Oryzias latipes: one gene and its partner. The protein of the gene in region 2 purifies or fractionates together with the protein of the main gene of each other region. This does not show direct contact. Links are inferred from orthologs where the notes say so. Each region holds a gene or a part of one and is shown on either strand. Other genes may lie near its edges.

Region 1 (6,945 bases), on a different chromosome or scaffold from region 2:
GAAGAGCCTCAGGGTCTCCAGGTCCTCTAGAATGTTGCTGTTTTTGGTGGTGATCAGAACCATGTAGAGCTTCTCCAGAGGCTGGTAGACGTAGCGGACGCTGTCCGTCTCCACAAAGGTGTGCTGCTTGCCTGTGTTCATGAGCTTTGGGAAGGCAGCCAGGAGTCCCTCGATCCTGGTCCGAGTCATCTCCACAAACTGCCGCGATACGATGGCCTTTCCAGCCTTGGTGCACACCGCCGCTGCCAACAGCACCTGTGCAGGAAAGTAGGGATCATCAGGGTTTACTGTCTAACATTAGAAAGTTCTTGAGTGAGGCAGACTCTTTCACCTTCATCTGCTTTAAATGTCGACATCAATACTTTGAGTGCAGACACAGAGGCATGTCAGGCTTTTTTAAGAACACGAACCTGTTTGTGTATGACCACTCCCATCTGTACCTACCCTTAGAATCTTCTCTACCCAACTTGCTTGATCAAATCTCCTGAGTCTTGAAGTCGCAGTCCTTCTGCTTCCCACTTTAGCTTCACTTAATATCCACAGATGGTCCTCCCCAATTGTTTAAAAGGGAGGACTCAGTCACCAACAAAGACAGGAACTAGCATGATTTTTTTCTTCTTCATTTTGGCTGCTTCCTTTAGTGGTTGTCACAGTGCATCATCCACCTCCATCCTATCCTCTGCTCACACCAACCATCTTCATCACGTCGTCCTCTTCCTCTACTTCCAAAAACCTCCTTCTTTGTCTTCCTAAAGGCCTCCGTCCTAGTTGCTCAAACCTCAGTTTTCCTACCAACACAACAACTGTCACCCTTGTCAACGTCTCAATCTGCTTCCTTAAATTCATCTCCAAAACATCCCACATCAGCCGTTTCCTCTGATGGATTCACTCCTGATCCATCGTGGTCATTCCCAAAGGGAACTTCAACATCTCTACCTTCACCTCCAGCTCTGCGTCAGAGCAATGGTCTCTAAAACAACAACATGGTTGCTCTCACCTTTCATTTTTACAGACTCAACACAAGTCACATCTGACACTAGATTATTAGATTAATAGATGCATCAATTAGGACCCATAAATGATTTGGAATCATTCTGTGAATTTTAAATAATTAGGAATCGACAAATTTTTGTGATTTCTTGTAAAAGTACTTAAAGGCCCATATGATGCTATTCTTAATCCTTTTATAGTAAACTATGTCCATGCATATGATATCATATTACATTTGCCACACAAAAGAGCTATTTTTTTAAAGAAATATTAGTTATTTTTGCAGCTCATTTTCCAACCATGAAGTAAGACGGCTCGATCTCTGAGGCTCCGCCTTTCTCTCCTTTTGGGTGCCGCCCATTTCATGATATCAACCTAGAGCCGGCCTCTGCAGTGTGTCTGCGTTTTTCCCACGAAAACAGACAACATCCAAACTTTTGCAAAGAAGGATGGGTATATTGTGCATATAAATAAATTGACTGACTTTCTTTGGACACTTTACAGTAGTGAAGTATTTACACAATCAGTGGATTCTGTCACAGACAAAGTGGTCTCATTCAGCCGCCAGTACAAAGCAGATATGAAAAGACGCTTTCCTCTGCTTTGGTATCAGCTGATTCCCATTTATCCCATGAAAAGTCGAGTCGTTATAGATGTATAGATGTCGTCGGCGGGTTGTGGATCATACCTTCTTTGTTCTGCTTTCTGCACACACCATTAGAAATAAGCTTCAACTCTGCTCCCAGTTAATAAAACGTCCTGCATTTTCATCTGGTCTGTCAAACACACAGTACATCCATGTTTTTTCTAACGTATTGGCCAACTGTATTTTCCCTGTTAAAGTCTCTATAATCAAAGGTTCTTCTCCTAAACTGCCACACTTCATTTGCTCTTTTTGCCAAAGAGAGAAAAAGCAAGGTACCAGTTTTGCCACACCTCCTTCCTCTCCTCCTTTGACCAGCATTAGTGCACATGAACCCTCTAGGTCACATGTGTCAAACTCAAGGCCCGGGGGCCAAATGTGGCCCGCCATATTTTATGTGGCCTGCCACAGCATAAACGTTTTTAATCTCTTATAATATTTTTTTTAGTTGATTACATATTATTAATGTGTAGCTGCAGTTGTCATTATTCAATGTTTGCAGGTCTTATGTGTGTATGCAGACAAATTGTTGTCATCAAACCATCAGTTGGATGCACGGCTGTGTGCAGCCTTTTATTGTAAAATGTTACACGTGTCATACGTGTTCTTTCTAGCTCAGTTTGATGTTATTTATTCACGTGGACAGTTTGATCGTGGGTTTTAATAAGAGGACAACATTTCAAAGGATTTATGCTAGAGTAACAAGCAAACATGTTTTCTATGCAACTGTAATGGTCACTTCAAAAAGTTAAAACAAATAAATAAATGAGTTATTTAACATCAAGGAGCAGTTACGTTTATTTTTAGTTACATGTATAAGTTTTATCTGGCCCTTTGAGGACAGCCTCTATACTGATGAGGCCCTCGGTGAAAATGAGTTTGACACCCCCGCTTTAGGTCAACAGTACCAGTAACAAGTCATTAACACCAGAGATGTCTCCAGTGACGTCTAAACAATTCTCTCTTTTTGATGGTAAATCTTTGATGTTTGGCGATCAGTTAATCAGCTGATTCTGAAGCAGAGAAGACCAGCTTTGCATCAATCTGGGTGCAAAGCTGCTTTACTGCATGACAGAAGTGTTGATTGGGTGACTTGTTGATTGGGCAAGCATATCACTACTGTAAGTGTTGGATGTCAAGATAAAGATGCTTTTCTCCGCTGCAGAATCCACTGGAATTACGTTAATTGCATCAACTGTTGAAGAGTTACCGTAGTCGAAAGAATGTCAACACTAAAGCTAAAGCTCCAGTGTTAAAGAGTTAATTAAACCACACAAAAGGAAAATTTGATTGAGATTCTCATATTTGATTTTGCTTTGGTTTTATGCCAGATGCCCTTCCTGACACACCTTTGACAGGCACATGAAAGCACTGGACTGTGCCTTCTTGTGGTTGCATTTGTTTGGTAGAGAAAAAAAGAAAATGTTTTTAATTCGACGGCATCCAGCCCTTCAGTTTGGATCCAGATCCCAGGTGGATGCATCAGACTGGACTGGAGCAGGGAGCCTGTGGCCTAATGATTGTAGTTTGTATGTAACACATCATCACACCCCCCCCCCCCCCCCCATTCTGATTCACAACGATTTGAATAAAGAATTACTCAGAAATGAAATTTTCAGCTTAGTTTTCTTGATACATGTCCTTCATTATAAGTGCTACAAGAACAAGTTAATGACACCACAAATACAATTTCCATTGGAGTGGGTCTTTGAAAATAATGGGGTTGGAATGAATGAACATGTAGTTTCATTCATTTGTGAATGACTCCCTTCCATCGGAGAGACATTTAGTTTGGCAACATCCTCATTTTTAGTCTGTCATATTTTCACTTCAGCTTAGGCAGACAAGGGACATTCGGGGAAACAAGTTAACAGGCCTAATGGTCACCACGGCGACCACAAGGTGATCACCAGGTGCCAGTTGACAGAACCTCTAGGTGAAACCGAGCTGTACACTTCTGATAGACAGAGTGCATGTTGTTTTTCTCATGCTCATTATGAAGTATTTAGTCTTGTTTACTGCTGTGTTCTGAGTCGTTTATATTTACAAATAAATTCAACTTAAATTGTTTATGCGGTATTATTGACGTTTATGAAAAAAATATTGACGTTTTACCTCAAATAAATAAATGAACGTACCCAGAGTGCACTCCAGTTCATGCGATTCATTTACCCACAAACCTTAGCGTCTGGAATGCTTCCCAGATGAATTGGGGCATATTTTGGGTGAATCACAGAAAACTCCAGATCTTCAAACCTCAGAACTCTGACCTGATGACAGGAGCCATTAGTTCCCCACTGGACCCTTCGGAACCTCGAACATGGACGGTGTGCCAAATCATGACACTGTTGTGTGTCTTTGGCAGCTGCCACACAGAGCAGGACCGAACTGTTCTTGTTCTTCTAAAATCTTATACGAACTCTGGTACTGACAAACAGCAGCTAGGGTCACACTAACAGAACTTTAATGACATTCACAGCCAACACAGAACAGAATTACTCCCGGGCCGAACACGACCCGTCATCAACCAAGTTCGGTCGGTCCAGTCCGGCTTGACAACACTAGCCTCGCTATCTGTACTAGCTAATTAAATGGACAACGTGTCCAACTGCACTATTAGTCTGTGCTGGACCCAAACTTAACCAAACCAGAGGACAGTTGCGTCTCCTGACTTTAGTTCCGTTCCGAAGCGCAGCAGCTAGCTGCTAGCCAATGTTATGCTAGTTGCAGGCCCGACGCGTACTGGAGCAGGGGGGGTCCGGTTCTGGACAGACACCTACCATTGTGGTCTGTCTTCGGGATTCCGCTGGAGTCCGTTTCTCGTGGTTCCGGTTCTGAGTTTGGTCCAGGGACTGTAGTCTCTGACAACGCGCGCGGCTTCCACGGACTGCTAGCGTCAATATGGCCGCCGCAGAGCCACGTCTCCACCGGAAGGAGCGCGCGGCCCTGATCAGCTTGCGTGGAAAACAGTGACGTGTCACGCGGACACCAAAACCTGGAGCTGTCGAGTGGAAACGCTCGAGCGCCCAGTTTCTCCATAGATTGATCCGGTTTTAGACGCGTGCCGCGAGCGTTTTGCGTCGCACCCACTACTCACTAAGAAGTGAGAGGGAACAACGGCACGAGCCCCATCAGGAACCTCCGACCAGTGCTGTGAATTTACATCCAAACTGTTCTACTTTACAAATTACATACACATGACAATTTTCAGAATTGAAATGTGTAACATGAGCCCCGTTTCATCATTAAGGTACTTTCTTTATGATACCTGCAGAAGTAGACCACAATAATAATATTTTCTCATTACAAAAGAGGTGATTTGGTTCAATCATTGGCTCTTTTTGTTACTATTCTTCTTTCTCTTTCGGCTTTTCCCATCAGGGGTCGCCACAGCGAATCATCCTTTTCCACCTCACTCTATCATGAACATCTTCTACCCTAACGTTAGCCAACTTCATGTCCTCTGTTAAGACATCCATATATCTCCTCTTTGGCCGTCCTCTTGCCCTCCGGCCAGGCAGCTCCATCTCCAACATCCTTCTACCAATATATCCACTATCCCTCCTCTGAACATGTCCAAACCATCTCAGTCTGGCTTCTCTGACTTTGTCGCTAACACAGGCAACATGAGCCGTCCCTCTGATGTACTCGTTCCTTATCCTGTCTAACCTGGTCACTCCTAAGGAGAACCTCAACATCTTCATCTCTGCTACCTCCATCTCAGCCTCTTGTCTCTGTCTCACTGCTACCGTCTCTAACCCATAGAGCAGAGCTGGTCTCACCACTGTCTTGTACACCTTTCCTTTGAGTCTTGCTGGCACTCTTCTGTCACACAACACTCCTGACACTTTCCTCCAACCGCTCCAACCTGCCTGCACTCGCCTCTTCACCTCTTTTCCACAATCCCCATCACACTGAACTGTTGACCCCAAGTACTTAAACTCCTGCACCTTCTTCACCTCAGTCCCCTGTAACCTAACGCTTCTACCTTGATCCCTCTCGTTCAGACACATGTATTCTGTCTTACTACGACTGACCTTCATACCTCTTCTTTCCAGAGCAAACCTCCACCTCTCTAGCTGTTCCTCCACCTGCTCTCTACTCTCACTGCAAATTACAATGTCATCCGCAAACATCATTGTCCAGGGAGATTCCTGTCTTACCTCGTCTGTCAGCCTGTCCATCAGCATAGCAAACAAAAAAGGACTCAAAGCTGATCCTTGGTGTAGTCCCACCTCCACCTTGAACTCCTCTGTCTGACCTACAGCACATCTCACCACCGTCATACTTCTCTCATACATGTCCTGAACTACTCTGACATACTTCTCTGCCACTCCAGACGACCTCATACAGTACCACAGCTCCTCCCTCGGCACCCTGTCATACGCCTTCTCTAAATCTACGAACACACAATGCAGCTCCTTCTGACCTTCTCTGTACTTTTCCATCAACATTCTCAAAGCAAAAATGGCATCAGTGGTGCTCTTACGGGGCATGAAACCATACTGCTGCTCACAAATCTCCACCTTCTTCCTAAGCCTGGCTTCCACTACTCTTTCCCACAGCTTCATTGTGTGGCTCATCAACTTTATTCCTCTATAGTTGCTGCAGTTCTGCATGTCACCCTTGTTTTTAAAGATCGGAACCAGAACGCTTCTCCTCCATTCCTCAGGCATCTTCTCACTCTCTAAAATCCTATTGAACAACCTCGTTAGAAATTCCACTGCTGTCTCTCCTAGGCACTTCCATACCTCCACAGGTACGTCATCAGGACCAACGGCCTTTCCGCTCTTCATCCTTTTCAGAGCCTTCCTAACCTCATCCTTTCCAATCTCTGCTACTTCCTGCTCCACAACAACCACATCTTCCTCCCTTCTTTCCCTGTCATTTTCCTCGTTCATCAGCTCCTCAAAATACTCCTTCCATCTTTTCTGTACACTCTCTTGGGTTGTTAGCACCTTTCCATCTCTGTCCTTAATCACCCTTATCTGTTGCACGTCCTTCCCATCTCTGTCTCTCTGTCTGGCTAGCCTGTACAAGTCCTTCTCTCCTTCCTTTGTGTCTAACCTGTCATATAGCTCATCGTAAGCTTTCTGTTTGGCCTTTGCCACCTCTCTCTTCACTCTACGCTGCGCTTCCTTGTACTCCTGTCTACCTTCCTCAGTCCTTTCTACATCCCACTTCCTTTTAGCCAACCTCTTCCTCTGGACGCATTCCTGTACTTCCTCATTCCACCACCAAGTCTCTTTACCGTCTTTCCTCTTTCCAGATGACACACCTAGCACCTTCCTACCTGTTTCCCTGATAATCTC
Region 2 (7,100 bases):
GAAATTACATTTTCAAACCGAAGTCCAGAATGATCAGCCAGCGATACTCCTCACAACTTCATAAAGATAAGAGGAAGTTTTAAAAAAAAGGGAGTATGATGATCAGTGCCGTGTGGTCTGTGCTGAACAGCGGCTCACTGCTGGACAGGACTATCGAAGGAGCGACCATTTGATCTGTTCTTTGGCAGACTGCAGTACCTGTGAAAGAAAAGGACTTTTTATTGTAACCTTCTTTAGAAAAAGAATACGAGATCAAATTCTGAACGTAAAAAAAATAACAATATAAAAAGGCAACAGTTTCAGTTTGCTTAATGAGAATCATTCAATTATCAAAAATCATTTCATTTCATTTATTGTCGTTTGCACAGCTTTACACTGACATACGATATTATTTCCAGTACAAACCCGAACAAACAGTTCAGAGTTGTCCACACTGTGGACATTAAATAAATTGTAAAAAATTAAAAACAAGTGATATTCATTAGGGCAAAAACTTTTTCGGATGAGGTTAAATTATGCCATCAAAAAGTTAATCTTTACCTACAAAGTACAATCCTTCAATTTGAACCTCCCATTATGGGTCAGAGAGCAGGTAAAGGAGCAGAGTAAAGATAATAATATGGCCTCTGCTGCACCTCAATCACTTTTAGAAGAATTCTCTTTTTTCAATATCCTCAATTCAAAGAAAATGCAAATAACTGATGTCGTAGAAAAGAGAAGCAGAAAACTCCGAACTAGGTGATATTTACAGCATTTTCTATTTGACAGTTGGTCTAAAGTCAAATGCATCACCATTTTCTACATTTAGAATTACAATTGTCATTTGAATGTTTTTATGAACATCTAAAAATAGCATCAATACATTAAGATGTCACCAGATTAAAGGAAATCAGATGATATGATCCCAAGGCCAAAAACAAAATAAATAGATATAAAGTGAAATAAGATAAGATTTAAAACATAAGAAAGTTGAAAATTGCTGCTTAAATACTGAACCGAAAAAAAGGGTGTTTGAAATACGCACGGTCTAATTAATCATCTTAATTTCTTGAATGAAGGCCAAATCATAACCATAAAGTATGATGGCTGGACACAGACATTAATCATAGCCAGAGGAGGAATGGTAGAAGCTAGTACCAGACCTTTTAAATGACAACATTAATCAAGTGGAGCCCTGACACACACACACACACACACATATATGTATATACATATGCGCGCACACACACACACACACACACACCCACACACACACAGACTCATCTAGACACTAAATGGCAGAAGCCATTATTGGCTAGCTACCACCTTACCACTGAATAATCAGTGATCATTTGCACACTTATGCATATGTGACGATACAAAATATGTCAGCCTGGAGGCAAGTAATCATACAGAAAAAGAAAATGACAATAACAGTACCCTTGTATATTCAAACTTCAAAGTAATGACTTTAAACACTCAATAGATCTTTAAACTCCACAGCAGAGTGAGGGGTAAAGTAGGGATGTTGTCCTCACCTGGGTGACTGTCTGCTCTGTCAAAGGTACATCATCTCCCTGCAAGAACAAATGCATTGTATTTACAGCTCGCACATTTACTGTCCAATCAAATGGAGATATTTTAGAGAAGAGGAGCGGAGCGGAGCTTACTCTGAGGGCTACACGATGCACAACCTGCTGTGGGTCACTCTCCAAGATTACTCTGAAAGTGAGGAGTCATAGTAACGATTACGAAACAAAATGAAGACACAGTAACGTATGATTTTTTTTTCCCCTAAAGAACACATTTCAAGACGCTTTATGCTTCTCATTTCTTACCCTCCGTCTACGATCTCATCCACAGCCAAGAAGAGTCCTTCCATATTCTCCAGCAAGGCTCTCTTTTCAACATTTTTCCTAAAAAGTTATGAAGAAATAAACTTAGAGCTGAAACTCTTTGAATATTAGAAACGTTTTTAAACCATTTAAGGTGCTATAAATATTTGCAGACAAATGCATACCTCAACATCTGACTCAAGGAATCGAAGAGGCAATTTAAAACAGCCATAAGCATCAGCTGTTGAAATGAAACACAAAGACATATTTAAAACGTTCAAGATAAAAAGCTGAAACAAAGACAACGTATGAAAAGTAAACATTAAAAACATAAACTAAGTTTGAACTTGTGAATTTGGAGAACTAGTTTAGTTCCAAGTAGACGAGCTTAAGAAACGGCAGAAATCCACGTTCTAAAAATGTGTCATATTAAAATCTACCCAAAATAATATTTTAAAAACAAAAGCTTGAAATAACAAAAAATCAGCAGTATTGATCACAGTAGAAAACACATTTACCAGTGTAAATGAAATATGTATTCACACTTAGGTTGGTTTCTTAAAACGTATTTGAATATGAAGCTGTATTATTATAATATTTAAAAATCATTAAATGTCAATTTTATGTTTTAATGTCAACTAAAACAATTACCTCATTTTCATGTGAACTCCCGATCACATAAAAGAAGAGGTCTATATTGCTCTTGTACACAACAGTCAGGCCCTCCAGCAAAGCTATTTCACCTGAGTGGACAGAAAAGAAAAACAAAATAAACTTTTTGTGTTTAAACAGCATCATGCTAAGTCTTTATTTACTGATTGTAAAACATCACGTACTGTCCGTCCTGTGCGTCTTGTTGAATATGTTTTTCTCAAACGCTTTCTGTTCCTTCACCGTTGGATACGTGTCATCGTAATACTGAAAATACAATCGCATTACAAAAGATTCTGAAAAAAAACTATCTCTACATCAGTAAACAAAATGTAGGTTTTTAATAAATACACAATTTATTGTATCCGATCAAACCATATTAATGACTAGATAGTAATCAATAAATTTCTACATATATAAGTAAAATAATTAAAAGACGTGGGCAATGGTAAAACCTGATCAGAAAATGCCGTTTCCCCACTAAGCTAAGCTACTAATTTAGCAATTTGGATTGACTTGAACTTGCAAATGCATTAAACAACTTATAGTACAGCTTAAATATATTTAGTATTTAGGAAGGCATATGTTTTCCTGATTATTTGAAGACAACTTTATAGGAAATGCACTTTGAATGTTACTAATTGACAATTACACGGTTTATTAAAATTGACAATGAAACATATTTTTTCAAGGAAAAACAACTTTTAATATAAATACCTCACATAATAAAGGACATTTGAGTGAATTCTGACTAATTAAGATGCCTCTTCAGGTGGTCTAAGGTTTATTCAGTGTTTCCAGCATCATGTTTCCAACTACCCACACTTCATCTCTTGTTTTTCATTGATCTAGCATTTGGATAACTGACCTACAAACACAAACTATCTTTGTTTTTATGTCATGTATTATATGACATAATCTTTTATTTAACAGATAAATAAATAAACACACACCTTGGCATAAAGTCTTTCTCCGTCATTATCCAGAATGAGAACCGCTTTGACTGTATACAAGGATGGTTCCTGGAATGACAACAAGAATCACCTACGTTTTATGTTCATTCAATTTATATAAACATTAAGTTAACATATGCTACAATCGAATCGGGACGCGAACGACGAAAAATGTCTAACAGAATGGCAGAACAAACATTGTGACAAATGGGACTAACTGTAACGATCACAAAATAGTGGAAAACAATATTCGAAGTAGTGCTTCATTTTTAGCCAGTGTGACCAGGAAGACGGGACACTTCCACATCATCAGAAAAGAAAGTGGCACATAAGGCTAACTTTGCAGGGTCTAGCTAGCTCGTTAGCCAACTCTTACGGTAGTTAGACGACCGGATAACGCTGTACAGTAAACCACACCCTTACCCGCCTTTCAATAAATAGTTCTCTGTGGATAATAGTCTTTCATTTTTTTAAACGACACTATATTTGAAGAGGAAACTTAAACACAGTCGTACCAGTATGGGAGAATCCATCTTCACCAGCTAACAGCAGGCTAGCACAGCTCTAACTTACGTAATACGTAGAGTTGAGGAATTTTACGTCACGCGCAAACGCAAAGTTCAATTCCACTCGGGGTCTTTACAGAAATTATTTACAACATTGACTTTGCATTTTCCTTAAGCCAGCAATTGATCAATTATGATTTGTTATTTTAAGTACATAAAATTAATAGCACAGGTTCGATCACATCTGAACCACAATGTTTTTTGTTTTGTTATCCGAGTGATTTGTTTACCATTATCCAGCAAACCTTAAATTTAAATCTATATTAGCAAAGAAAATAGCCACTTTCAAATGGCAAATAAAAGATGAGCAACTAATGATGTCAAAATCTTTCAAACTATTTCCTAAAGCTTATTTTTTTTTTGGGGGGGGGGGGGGGGTTGCCTTTCGTTTTTTTCTTCTCCTTTTTTAACACACTTTTATGAGACTAGAAAGCCATTGGTTGGCAATTTATAAAAGTAAATTGAACTCTAGACAAAAAGCCTAAAAGCACTGTACTAAAGTAGTAATAGCATTCATTCATTCATTCATTATTTACATTGACTTTTAGATTTATGGAATGGGGGGGGGTATAATACCTAATATGCTAATTCTGGAATTTTCAGATCTTGAAACATTTAAGTTAAAAAAAAATGAAGGGGACAGTTTACCTTGCTTGATTTTTTTTTCTAGCAACACAAGACCTCAAATAGTGTCTAGAATTTCTTTTAAAAAAGCATGCATTATGTGTATGCTGTTATTTTCCTATTGGGTCGGGCTATCATGATAACTGATATTAAAAATGTACCTTGCCATTACAAAGATATTATACTAGTTTTATTGTATTTTAAAGTATAAAATAGTTTGTTCTCTCATAAATGTTGTTTATCTTTACCCCTATGCACCACTACTGCTTGTCCATATATATCTAGTCCATTTCGAGAGAGTAGATAGAGATAGACGTTGATTATTTGGCTGAACCCCTCAGCCAAATAATCAACAAGACTGGCTATGGATACTGACTCAGAAATGGGGCCAACATCAGTCACCTCCTCATGGATGACTTAAAGCCATATACTAAGAGTGAGTGTGACATTGACTCCCTGATCTACACCACCAGGATGTACAGTACTGACATTGGGATGTCATTCGGGCTTGAAAAAATGCAGCCGGATGGTGACAAAGAGAGGCAAGGTAGTCCACACATAGGGGTCTCACTCCCAGAAGGAACAATGGCAGACATTGAGGACAGCTACAAGTACCTTGGAATTCCGCAGGCAAATGGCAACCTGGTGCAGGCAACAAGGAAAGCTGCAACAGCTAAATACCTCCAACGAGTAAGGCAAGTCCTGAGAAGCCAGCTCAATGGCAAGAACAAGACCTGGGCAACAAACAACTACGCACTGCCAGTTATCAGATGCCCTGCAGGAATAATAATACAGACCAAGGGTGTGAAAACACGAAAGCTTCTCACCATGCGTGGAGGGTTCCATCCCAAATCCAGCACCCGGAGACTGTATGCTAACCGCAAGGAAGGAGGCCGAGGACTAGTGAGCGTAGAAGCCACTATCCAGGATGAAACATCCAAGATGCATGAGTACATCAAGCTCAAGGCCCCAAATGACAGTGTGCTCAGTGAATGTCTCAGGCAATGGAGAGCAGAGGATACAGTGCTGGAGGACAGATCCTCATGGGAGGACAAGCCCCTGCATGGGATGTACCACCAGACCATAACTGAAGTGGCTGATATGAAGAAGTCCTACCAATGGCTAGAAAGGGCTGGCCTACAGGACAGCACTGAAGCACTCATCCTGGCAGCTCAGGAACAAGCACTGAGCACCAGAGCCATAGAGGCTCCGATCTACCACACCAGACAAGACCCAAGGTGTAGGCTGTTCAAAGAGAAGCCTGAAACAACCCAGCACATAACTGCAGGGTGTAAGATGCTGGCAGGGAAAGCATACATGGAGCGCCACAATCAAGTGGCTGGAAGAATATACAGAAACTCGTGTGCAAAATATAACCTGGAAACCCCAAAGTCAAAATAGGAAACACCTCTGAAAGGGGTAGAGAATGAGAGAACAAAGATCCTGTGGGACTTCCAGATACAGACTGACAGGATGATAATGGCAAACCAACCAGACATTGTAGTGGTGGATAAAGAACAGAGGAAAGCCGTTGTGATGGATGTGGCAGTGCCAAGCGATGGGAACATCAGGAAGAAAGACCATGAGAAACTAGAGAAATACCAGGGACTCAGGGAAGAATTGGAGAAAGCCTGGAAAGTGAAGGTGACAGTGGTGCCTGTGGTAATTGGAGCACTCGGGGCAGTAACCCCCAAGCTGGAGGAGTGGCTACAACAGATACCTGGAAAGACCTCAGACCTCTCAGTCCAGAAAAGCGCAGAGCTAGGAACAGCTAAGATACTGCGCAGGACCCTCAAGCTCCCAGGCCTCTGGTAGAGGACCCGAGCTTGGAGGAGAAACCACCCGCATAGGGTGAGAGGGGCATTGTTTTTTTTTATATATATATATACACAGCAGCTCTTAAACCCTGAAATGAATTTAGCCAGTTTATAAAGTGGACTGATGGATGGACATTTACTCAAGTAAAAGTAAAACCCACAATCCAGTTAAATCATTTTAAGATGTGTATTTTTTTAAAGTACTCAAAAAATGTATCAGAGTAAATATTACCACCTCTCCATAGAACACTGTGCCGAGATTAGAATTCTATTTTTGTTGTAGTTTAAATTAGTTTATAGTCAACACCATCAGCATCTATTCTTTTTCTATTTCTTCCAGGATCCTCCCACATTTAACCAACTCCAATTATCTTAGTTCATTCTTCTGGGAAGTGTTTTAAAATCCATGGCTGATGGGGATTTCCCTCTATCGTATTCCATAAATGACATCACTTGGCGTAAGTGTTTTATATTTTTAGTTTTGAGTTTCAAGTGAAGCTGGGAAAAAGGGTTTGCAGCGTTTGTTATTTGCCTTCTGCAGCAAACGTTGAGTATAGAAACACACATTTGTTTGAAGCACACCCATTCTAGGACTGTGGGAAGCCATGAAATGTTGCAATAGCACACTATGTTTGCACAATTCAGCCACCAAGATTTTGAAATTGTTTTAAGCTC

What was found. The genes of interacting proteins can lie anywhere in the genome.
Region 1: the proteins of copz1 (region 2) and arcn1 fractionate together in Homo sapiens (co-fractionation; 5 studies listed by BioGRID and IntAct, with this or other methods). This does not show direct contact. The link is inferred for Oryzias latipes from reciprocal best matches to the Homo sapiens genes COPZ1 and ARCN1.

The regions. Positions count from the first base shown.
Region 1 is NC_019871.2:31,554,620-31,561,564, forward strand, and holds the start of arcn1 (coatomer subunit delta), read right to left. Parts: upstream 4,687-6,945; 5' UTR 4,417-4,686; coding exon 4,414-4,416; intron 256-4,413; coding exon 1-255. UniProt on the Homo sapiens protein: Component of the coatomer, a cytosolic protein complex that binds to dilysine motifs and reversibly associates with Golgi non-clathrin-coated vesicles, which further mediate biosynthetic protein transport from the ER, via the Golgi up to the trans Golgi network.
Region 2 is NC_019865.2:12,848,960-12,856,059, reverse strand, and holds the start of copz1 (coatomer subunit zeta-1), read right to left. Parts: upstream 4,032-7,100; 5' UTR 3,952-4,031; coding exon 3,934-3,951; intron 3,488-3,933; coding exon 3,419-3,487; intron 2,733-3,418; coding exon 2,651-2,732; intron 2,558-2,650; coding exon 2,466-2,557; intron 2,056-2,465; coding exon 2,000-2,055; intron 1,896-1,999; coding exon 1,818-1,895; intron 1,702-1,817; coding exon 1,650-1,701; intron 1,557-1,649; coding exon 1,518-1,556; intron 199-1,517; coding exon 151-198; 3' UTR 1-150. UniProt on the Homo sapiens protein: The coatomer is a cytosolic protein complex that binds to dilysine motifs and reversibly associates with Golgi non-clathrin-coated vesicles, which further mediate biosynthetic protein transport from the ER, via the Golgi up to the trans Golgi network.